Linked DNA regions of Arabidopsis thaliana. Each later gene encodes a partner of the first gene's protein in a complex. Each region holds a gene or a part of one and is shown on either strand. Other genes may lie near its edges.

What was found. The genes of interacting proteins can lie anywhere in the genome.
Region 2: TAF15 (region 1) and HAF2 share a complex: the UniProt entries of both Arabidopsis thaliana proteins name them as parts of the TFIID complex.

The regions. Positions count from the first base shown.
Region 1 is NC_003070.9:18,628,012-18,633,816, reverse strand, and holds TAF15 (TBP-associated factor 15), read left to right. Parts: upstream 1-1,777; 5' UTR 1,778-1,938; intron 1,939-2,116; 5' UTR 2,117-2,154; coding exon 2,155-2,259; exon of another isoform or gene 2,260-2,275; intron 2,276-2,369; coding exon 2,370-2,698; intron 2,699-2,814; coding exon 2,815-3,012; intron 3,013-3,607; coding exon 3,608-3,691; intron 3,692-4,067; coding exon 4,068-4,149; intron 4,150-4,262; coding exon 4,263-4,386; intron 4,387-4,802; coding exon 4,803-4,999; 3' UTR 5,000-5,262; downstream 5,263-5,805. Other genes in the region: AT1G50290 (uncharacterized protein), read left to right, coding at 5,555-5,805. UniProt on the Arabidopsis thaliana protein: TAFs are components of the transcription factor IID (TFIID) complex that is essential for mediating regulation of RNA polymerase transcription.
Region 2 is NC_003074.8:6,572,569-6,577,179, reverse strand, and holds the start of HAF2 (histone acetyltransferase of the TAFII250 family 2), read left to right. Parts: upstream 1-1,566; 5' UTR 1,567-1,627; coding exon 1,628-1,661; intron 1,662-1,897; coding exon of another isoform or gene 1,898-1,913; coding exon 1,914-2,138; intron 2,139-2,389; coding exon 2,390-2,481; intron 2,482-2,571; coding exon 2,572-2,746; intron 2,747-3,139; coding exon 3,140-4,250; intron 4,251-4,401; coding exon 4,402-4,604; intron 4,605-4,611. UniProt on the Arabidopsis thaliana protein: TAFs are components of the transcription factor IID (TFIID) complex that is essential for mediating regulation of RNA polymerase transcription. Core scaffold of the TFIID complex.

The DNA of each region.
Region 1 (5,805 bases):
AGTGAGTTTTTAATCTACTAATTATATATATGAAAGTTAGCCAACTCTCTCCATATGATTGACACATCATCACTTTAACATTTGCCATGTATCCACTGAATAATTAATGTAAGCTCTTCAACTTTTAATTTATAGATTAATGATGTATTTATTATTTAATTTTACATATTTAATTGTACTAATACTAAATTTATTTTGTTATTAAATGTTTTTCAATAAAATAATTTGATTGATTTTCTCATACTCAAAAGATTTTTTTCTGTAATCTTAACTCAAATTATGAGTGTATAGTAGTCATGGATTAATTAATAGTTTGAATAGTTTGCATATTGTTATATATCTATATAATAAATCGCCGAGGGTGAAGAGTATGTAAGAAGTTTAATCATCAAATTCTTAGGTTTCGAGAATCCCAATATTACCTTCTATTTAATTAGTTTAAGACGAACATTGTTTAGGAATTGTGTGTATAATGCATTGTTGAGAATGTTGTTAGAAAAAATATATTTTAATATTAAGAATAATTACTTATTATATAAGTAAATGATTAGATAATTAAAAATTATATTTAAATTAAACGATACAAAAAATTTAAAAATACCGCAGCGTAGCGCGGGTGATTACCTAGTCATAGTAAAATTAGTAGTGACAGATTTTAAAAAATGACAAGCTTATGCTAGTAACTTTACAAAATAGATAGCATTATATAAATATTTTACTGTAGTATGAGTCAATACTTTTTTAATTATTAATTTAGTCAATATATGTTAGATGCAAATGTATTTTTTTTTATTGACCAATACTTTGGTAGTATAATATTAGTAGTATTAGATATTATTGGCTATAAATAGATTCAACATTGAAACACAAATCATATATATGAAAGAAGACTAACTCTCTCCCACAACTTGACACATAAGCACATGAGAGCTTGCCACCTAGACTTCATAAAATAAGTAATACATAATTAGTAATTAATTCAACATAACAACTAAAATAGGAGAATATAATTAATGAGAACTTGAACCATCACTCTTTCTACATTTTTAATTCAATATATCCTCTTTAATTTTGAGATCCACTTAAGTGGCTAAAGTGATGATAAAATCCAAACATGTTACACATATTCCTGGCCTAAAAATTAGACGATTATTATGAAAGAAACTAAATGAATATGCAGATTAAATATATCTAAGCTTTTCGATATTTATGCTAAGAAAACAGGTAATTTGAAAGATATTTGAGGAGCTATCCTTATAACTAATACGTAAGATATAAGATTATGACAAGAACTTAACTAAACTTTCTAAGAATATCGAGTTGAATATGCTTAGATTGAATATGCAAAGACATGATTAATAAAGACATGTTATATTTTTAGTGTAAGAAATAATTTTTCTAAAATTTCACTGTCTCACAATCTATACATATAACTAAAAAAGCAAGGATATATAAATTCAAAAAAAAACTAAGAATCTAAAACAACAATAAAAAACAACTCAAGCACATTCGTTTTTCAGATGAACTAATATAGTTGGACTTTTCAAAAACAATTACAAAACATATTTATGTTTCAAAACCTATGCATTCAACTTTACTTTATATAAACAGACATTATATAAAACAATTAGTAAATAGTAATACGTAAACCCGCACGTAGTGCGGGTACTCATCTAATTTGTAAATTAATAATTCCTCAATTTGCACCCAAAAAAAGAATTCCTTAACCACGAAAAAAATAAAAAAACAAAATTACAATTTAAGGGGGAAAGTTATATGAAATTGCAAATATAACCACCAAACAAACAATCGACTATCGAGGTTACCCTTAAGAAAATCTTTATTCGCAAGATCTCTCTCTCTCTCTCTCACTCGACGCACTTTAGAAAGAAACCCTAGTCCGACGACCTCTCCTTCGCCGCTGAATCCTCATCGCTGGTCAGATTTCTATCTATCTCGCTCTTCTATGTTTCCCTATCTCGTTGGTCAGATTTCGAATCTTCTTTTTGTTCTCATGGTTTTTGAGCTCAAAACTTTGGGGTTTCAATGTCTCGATGTTATTTCTTAGCGAGGTTTCAATGTTGGCTAAGTGAAGTTTTGGTATTGTCATTTACAGATTCTTGGCGGCTTTCTTTTTGATGAAATTGGATTACGATGGCTGGATATCCTACTAATGGATCAGTCTACGTTTCAAATCTCCCCTTAGGAACTGACGAGAATATGTTGGCTGACTATTTTGGGACCATTGGGTTGCTTAAGGTATGGTATTGGCCAGGTACTAATTGTTGCTTTTGTTTTGACGTCATTGCAATCTTTTATAGGTCACTAGATTTTCGAGTTTCTTACATTTTTTTCTACATTGCTTTTAGAGAGACAAACGAACTGGTACTCCTAAGGTATGGCTGTACCGGGATAAAGAAACTGATGAGCCCAAGGGAGATGCTACTGTTACCTATGAGGATCCGCATGCTGCTTTGGCTGCTGTTGAATGGTTCAATAACAAAGATTTTCATGGAAACACCATTGGAGTTTTTATGGCCGAGTCGAAGAATAAAAATGCTGGTGATGCAGTTGAGTTTGTTGAATTCGATGGAGGTGCTGAGGAAACAAATGGAGGTGCTGGAAGGGGGAGGGGTCAGGCTGATTCTTCGGCAAAGCCATGGCAGCAAGATGGTGACTGGATGTGCCCTAATACAAGGTCTGTGATGTGATATCGGTGAGGAGCTTCATCTAGCTCTTGTTTCCGTTAATTTGCTAGTTTTTATATATTTTATAGTTTCTAGCAGTAGTGTTCTCATACTCTTTCATTGGCAGTTGTACAAATGTGAATTTTGCATTCCGTGGGGTTTGTAACCGCTGTGGAACTGCTAGACCAGCTGGTGCATCTGGTGGCAGCATGGGTGCTGGTCGTGGAAGGGGTCGAGGTGGAGGCGCTGATGGTGGGGCCCCGGGGAAGCAGCCCAGTGGTGCTCCTACTGGTCTCTTTGGTCCAAATGATTGGGCTTGTCCAATGTAAGCATTCCGATTAGGTTTGAAATAGTTAGTTCAGTTTCAGAGGATAATGAGCGTTTGGTACTTGATTAAAACACATCGCAAGAAACAATTTATATTCAGTAGCAAAAGAGAACATTCAGATGGCATATAGCGTTGCTGGATATAAAATTAATTTGTCTTATGTATGGAAGGAATATAGCTTGTATATCAATGCTTTTGATGATGTCAGTTGACTCTTTACTTAGAAAGAAGTGATGGCCCGCTCTGCTGTGCTGTGTCTCTTAAACTGGTCCAAATTATGTGTGGAGGCACATATTTTTTCCTTCTTTTTTGAATGTTGATTCTAATTTCGTAATTTTCCTTCAGATGGCTGTTAATCTGAAAAATGTAATTTGAAACGTGGGTAGGTTGTAGTCTTGATCCTTCTAAGAAGTTATATTTGTGAAGATAGGCTGCCTTCAATTTTCTGTGTCTGATACAAAAAATGGACTATGTTTTAGTTTAATTGCAAGTTATGCTATGTGTCATCGAGTAGCTTAACTAAGAGGCTGCACTGTGTGAATGTGAGTTCTTATGCATAATGCACTTTTTCTTTTTGCGCTAATTCTTTCAGGTGTGGCAATGTCAACTGGGCGAAACGTCTAAAATGTAATATCTGCAACACCAATAAACCTGGTCAGAATGAAGGTGGTGTGAGGTATGACTCAAAGCCAGTGATAAGATTGCCTTTGTATTGTTATCTTGCAATGTTCGAGCTGAGGATTTGGATTATAAATGATTTTACAGTGAATGTAGGAGAGGTCGTAGATTTTCTGTTCGATGTTTGTAGTTTTGTTGTCAGCAGGGTATATTTATTCTGCTTTTAGACAGGGCCTAATAGATACCTGGGAAAAAGTCTCAATACTCTCTTCTGCAATTTGAACGAGTGCTTGTTTTCTTCGACAATTGATTTATCCCACTTGTAATGTTTTATTTTGGCCAAATTAGAGTTGCATTAAGAAACATTAAGGTTTGAGTTTGGAAGGTTGTTTTTATCTAGACCAGTGCTTATTCATTTTTTTTTCTCTAAATAGGGGAGGCCGTGGTGGTGGTTACAAGGAATTAGATGAACAAGAATTAGAGGAAACGAAGAGACGCAGGCGTGAGGCTGAAGAAGTAAGATATGCTTTTCCTGAAGAGTTCTTTGTTTTTTGTTTTTTTGTTGCAATTCGGATGAGCTCTCAGTTTTTTGTATATTCCATTTGACTTATACGTCTAATATATTTCAGGATGATGGTGAAATGTATGATGAGTTTGGGAATCTAAAGAAGAAGTACCGTGTTAAAACAAACCAAGCTGACACCAGACCTGCTGTTGCTGCTGGTCGTGCTGGGTGGGAAGTCGAGGAACTAGGTAAGTTCTGTTTAATTTTAACTAATATGAACTAAATCTATGCAATCATCAAATAGGTTGAGCTTATGAACAGAACCTTTCCACTATAATAGAGATTTATTTGGCTCGATCTATATCTACTCTCTGTGTATAGTCTTCAAAGAAAGTTTCTGCTTGTCATCTAGACACTTGAGTGAAACTTAACATATATGCGGGGAGGGATTTGTTTGAAATTTTACATTAAGCTTGCAGCTAACTTGCCTATAGCCCAAGCCTAGTGGGGATCTCCAATAAACAGTGTTGTTCCTTGTTAGAGTTTTCTTCTTTTCACTGAATAGATATAGAGGAAGATAGAAAAGAATGTTTATTGCTGCTTCCCCAAAAATAGAAAGGTCATGATCCAATGTAGTTGTTCATAATTTATATGAATGTGGCAGGTATTGATAAAGATGGAAGAGAGAGAAGCAGAGACAGGCAAAGAGACCGTGGTAGAGATCATCACTACGATAAGGATAGACGCAGAAGCAGAAGCCGAGAGAGGGAAAGAGGCAAGGAGCGTGACTATGACTATGACCATGATCGGGACAGAGACAGAGACTACGGTCGCGAACGTGGAAGCAGGTACCGTAACTGAGAGATTACTCATAAGTGTTAGGGTTTAGTTTCTCATCTGTTTTGTCGACTTACTTTTACAACGGTATCATTACAATGTCTTCGCCTTTTGTTTACTTATTGTGTGAAGTGAAACTCATTTTGGTTTGAATCAATGGCTATTGTTTTTCACTTGTTTTGGTCTGATTATGTTCTGAGAATACTCCATGTTTATCGTTTCGAAAATTGGTAATTATGGCAAAACATGGTTAGCGACGTCAATTGCTAATTTAGACGTGTATTAAGTATTATTTTGTCTTTTGTAGTATTATTTTTAGTTGTCCCTTTGTTTTTTTTTCCATCGCCAATCATTTCATCGCTGTATGATTTTAATGGGAATAAAAAAAATAGAACAAGAAGATTTTTGTGGACAATATAGTTTCTGAAACTATAATAGGATAAGAAAAAATTAAGCTTATTTGTGGGGATATATATTAATGTCATATCATTGTCATAAACATGGTCGGCAAAACTTGGGACGGCAGTTTACCAGAATAATCCGGTCGACAGAATTCAACAGTTCCTCTCTCTAAAAGATATGAAGGAGATTAATTTTGGCTTTGTTAGCAAAGATGGCCGGTCCTCTTCTGGCAAATCCGGCTTTTACAAGCGGTTTTGGCCGGCTTTTATCCTTCCTCCGCCGTTCGATCGGTTGTTCTTACCGATTGCTTTAGTTTCTTTTTCAGTTTTTCTTTCAATAATTTCTAAAGATTTCAATTGGAGATTAATTTTAGGTCATAATAGCCTAAGATTAAGTTTTCGGATTTGTATCTTTAGAAAGTTTGATTT
Region 2 (4,611 bases), on another chromosome or scaffold:
AAGTAACGACAATCGCCAGCGACCAGCGACCGCAATTTTTGGTCGCTGAAATTTTTAGCGATCAGTCGCTGATTTCAGCGATTAGTCGCTGGTTTTAGTCGCTGGATCCAACGACATGCAAACGAACAATTTAGCGATCAAAAAATATAAATTAAAGAATAATTAAAAATAATTAAATTAAACAGAATTAAATTAAATTAAACTTAAAATAAATGTCTTTTTGCACTCTGAACGGTTGTGTCTTTTAATCGCAACTTTCCGTAAAAAATATTGATGGTTGTTTTTTCTCGCTTGTGTCTTTTATTGCAACCTTCCTATATTGTAATTTTCTGTCAAAATATTTACAGTTATTTTTTCCGGTTAGTTATATATATACTATTGAATAACTACGAAATTTAGAATATGCATCATTTGGAGTTAGATTTGTTTTAAAGAAATTATTATATAAATAAATTTATAATATTTTTCTCTGCGATATCAAGAAAGGTTTGAGTTCTAGTTTAATTAAAATAATTCTTATTAAATTAAGTTAAAATAAATTAAATTCAAATAACATAAACTAATTATAGTCAAATTAAATTTGATAAAACTAAAATAAATAAATCTATTAATTTATTTTTCTCATGGTGTATGATATATATGATTTACATTTTGATTTTAAAATATAAATTAGTACCAAAAATAATTAATTTTAAAAAAAAATATAGCGACTGTTTATAGCGACAGTCAAACGAACAACACAACGACAATTATTAGCGATTGTTGATGTAATTGGTCGCTGAGTCCAGCGACAGACAATCGAACAATATATGTTGTCGCTGGTTGCTGTCGCTGGTCGTTGGTCGCTGTCGCTGGATCCAGCGACAGGAAAACGAACAGGGCATAGGTTTTGTTTGTTTTATTTAGTATTTCTAACGTAAATTTTAAAAAAGCGCCAAAATCTAGAAGAAGAGTAATATGCGAGAAAATCACTTTTACTCTTATTTATTTACTTGTCTTGCCAAATTTCCATCAAAATTATTAATTACTTAATTATATAATTTTTGACTAATTATTTACTTTATTGGACCCGGGATATGTAACTAAATGGGCTTTTATTGGGCTGTATTCTGTGGACCATTAATAAACATAATCTTTGAAGTGCAAAAAAAAAAATGGGACCCGGGACAACTAAATCAGAATCGGGGCGGGTTATAAACTTTTCCCTATAAATTACCACTCCGATGTTAATACCCGCCTCTTTGATCCCTCAGACGATTTCTTCTTTCCGTTGTATCTTCCAATCACCCGATTGAGCTCCGCTTCACTTCCTCCGGCTAAATGTGTACATACTCTCAATTAGGAAACCGCCAATCCCACATAACGTTGAATGTCGTCGTCTCGGTTAGATATCAACGAGGGTTTTGTTCTTGGTTCCTTACTAAACAACAAAATTTGACGAAAATTGGTACTTGGGTATGAACGTTGTTATTCCCTAATTGTACCGGAAAATTTGATGGTGGTATGTTTCCCTTGTAGGTTTTCGTTGAGTCGTGGATTTGTTCTTGCTCCTGATTCTTTTCAGTAGTTCCTTTGCTATTTGGGAAGCAAAATTGTCACGCCACTCTTTGCATTCGAGGGTTTTATTATGTCTGAGTCCAACGACAACGAGACTTCCGCAGGTTATATTTGCAGTTTCTTACATGGTTTCTTCATTAGTGTATTGCATTCTCCTAGTTTTGCTCTAGTCATAATCTACTTATTGTGGGATAATTTATTGCTCAGCGTTTTGAGTTAATTAAATAGAAGGTTTTTATGTTTGAGATTTTGATATACGCAACAAGTCCCACCCATAGCAGTTACAAACTGAAACTATTTGCCACTACCAATTCCCGGTCATCAGCTTCACTGACTTGTGATGATATGTCGTGTAGATTATGGGAGCAATGATGAAGAGTATGATGGGCCTGAGCTTCAAGTAGTTACTGAGGAAGATCACCTACTACCAAAAAGAGAGTACTTATCAGCTGCATTTGCTTTGAGTGGTTTAAATTCCAGAGCTTCTGTGTTTGACGACGAAGATTATGATGAACAAGGAGGACAAGAGAAGGAACATGTACCAGTTGAGAAATCTTTTGATTCAGAAGAGAGGGAACCAGGTTTGCTTTTGAAATTTCCGTTTCTTGAACAAAACGATTAGCACACTCTATTCTCTACTTTTGTTTTGTCATTTCATTAATCTCAGATTGGTTTAGTTTTCTCAACACTTATACTTGTTTAGCTCGGGAAAATAATCTCTTGTTAAGTTGGAGTCCAGTGCGTCATAAATACTAGAGATCAGAACTCTTGGAACTTTTCTTAGATTCCTTTTGTGTTAGTGATTATGAGACACTAAACATTATTTTCGCAGTTGTCTTGAAGGAGGAAAAGCCCGTAAAGCATGAAAAGGAGGCTAGCATCTTGGGAAATAAGAATCAGATGGACACAGGAGATGTCCAGGAGGTCAGCAAGAATGATTTCGGTGTCTCAGATAACATCTTTTTTTGTTGTGGAATGATTTTGTTCTGTTAGTGATCTCATTGAAACGTTCAGGAGTTGGTGGTTGGATTATCAGAAGCTACTTTGGATGAGAAACGTGTCACCCCGCTGCCTACGTTATATCTTGAAGATGATGGTATGGTCATCTTACAATTCTCTGAGATATTTGCTATACAAGAGCCACAGAAGAAACGGCAGAAGAGAGAAATTAGATGTATCACTTATAGAGGTATGTGATCTGCAACGGCTTCCTAATTTTGTTTATTCTCAAAAGCCTTTGAATTTTTTGTGCTTTCCATTGGGATGTTAAAATCTACAACAACAATGATTTCTCAAGATTTTCAGTATCTCCCGTTCAATTCTAAAAGCCATTAGGTGTCGAAAGCATGAGAAGTTTTTTGTATGTGGCTCTGTCTTTTCTTGGCAAGAATTTAGTAGATATGTATATTTGGTGCTTCTGAAATGATATACATTATTTTCTCTGTTTCTCTCGTTATCTCTCTGCATTGTTCTTTTCTGTTTGTAATTCATCACTTCTTTTAATGTAACTAGAATAGCTGAGAAAGTTCTATGAAAACAATTATCATATGAGACTCTTACATCATAGCCTTCTTTGGTACAGACAAATACATATCTATGGATATTTCTGAGCTTATCGAAGACGATGAGGAGGTACTCCTGAAGAGCCATGGTAGGATTGACACTCATGGGAAAAAAACTGATCAAATTCAGCTGGATGTTCCCTTACCAATCAGAGAGCGTTCACAGCTGGTAAAATCTGGCATAGTAAGGGATACTACATCAGAATCGAGAGAGTTTACCAAGCTAGGAAGGGATTCATGTATCATGGGTGAACTGTTGAAGCAGGACTTAAAAGACGATAATTCATCTCTCTGTCAGTCTCAATTAACAATGGAAGTTTTCCCTCTAGACCAGCAAGAATGGGAACATCTAATACTCTGGGAAATTTCTCCTCAATTTAGTGCTAATTGTTGTGAGGGCTTCAAATCTGGACTTGAGTCAGCAGGTATAATGGTACAGGTGAGGGCTTCAAATTCAGTGACTGAACAAGAAAGCTTAAATGTGATGAACTCTGGAGGGCAAACTCAAGGGGACAATAACAACATGCTCGAGCCTTTTTTTGTAAATCCGTTGGAGTCTTTTGGCTCAAGAGGTTCCCAGTCTACAAATGAGTCCACTAACAAAAGTAGACATCATCCACAACTCCTTAGATTAGAATCTCAGTGGGATGAGGATCATTATAGGGAAAATGGCGATGCTGGACGGGAGAATTTAAAGCAGCTTAATAGTGACGCTCGTGGGCGCTTGAGTGGACTTGCATTGCAAGATAGGGATATGTGGGATGAGTCATGGTTAGATAGCATAATATGGGAGTCAGATAAAGATTTGAGCAGGTCTAAACTAATATTTGATCTTCAAGATGAGCAAATGATCTTTGAAGTTCCGAACAATAAGGAAAGAAAATATCTTCAACTTCATGCTGGATCTAGGATTGTATCTCGATCTTCAAAATCCAAGGACGGATCCTTTCAAGAAGGCTGTGGATCAAATTCTGGGTGGCAATTCAATATTTCTAATGACAAATTCTATATGAATGGGAAAAGCGCTCAGAAACTGCAAGGAAATGCTAAGAAATCTACCGTACACAGTTTGAGAGTTTTCCATTCGGCACCAGCGATTAAATTGCAGACGATGAAGATCAAATTGAGCAAGTAAGTGAGTCATTTGAATTTTTACATCTTATTGTATTTGTACGCTTCATTGTTACATTCGTGTGTGGTCTCAATGTTGCCACTGGATATATTTTTTAAATACATTTTTTTAGTGGTTTATGTTAAAAAGTTTTGATTTAACTCATTGCAGTAAAGAGAGAGCAAATTTTCACCGGCCCAAAGCTCTGTGGTATCCACATGACAATGAGCTAGCCATAAAGCAGCAAAAAATTTTACCCACCCAAGGTTCCATGACAATTGTTGTTAAGAGTCTGGGGGGTAAAGGATCACTGCTAACCGTCGGCAGAGAGGAATCTGTCTCTTCTTTAAAAGCCAAGGCTTCTAGAAAGCTAGGTTGTTT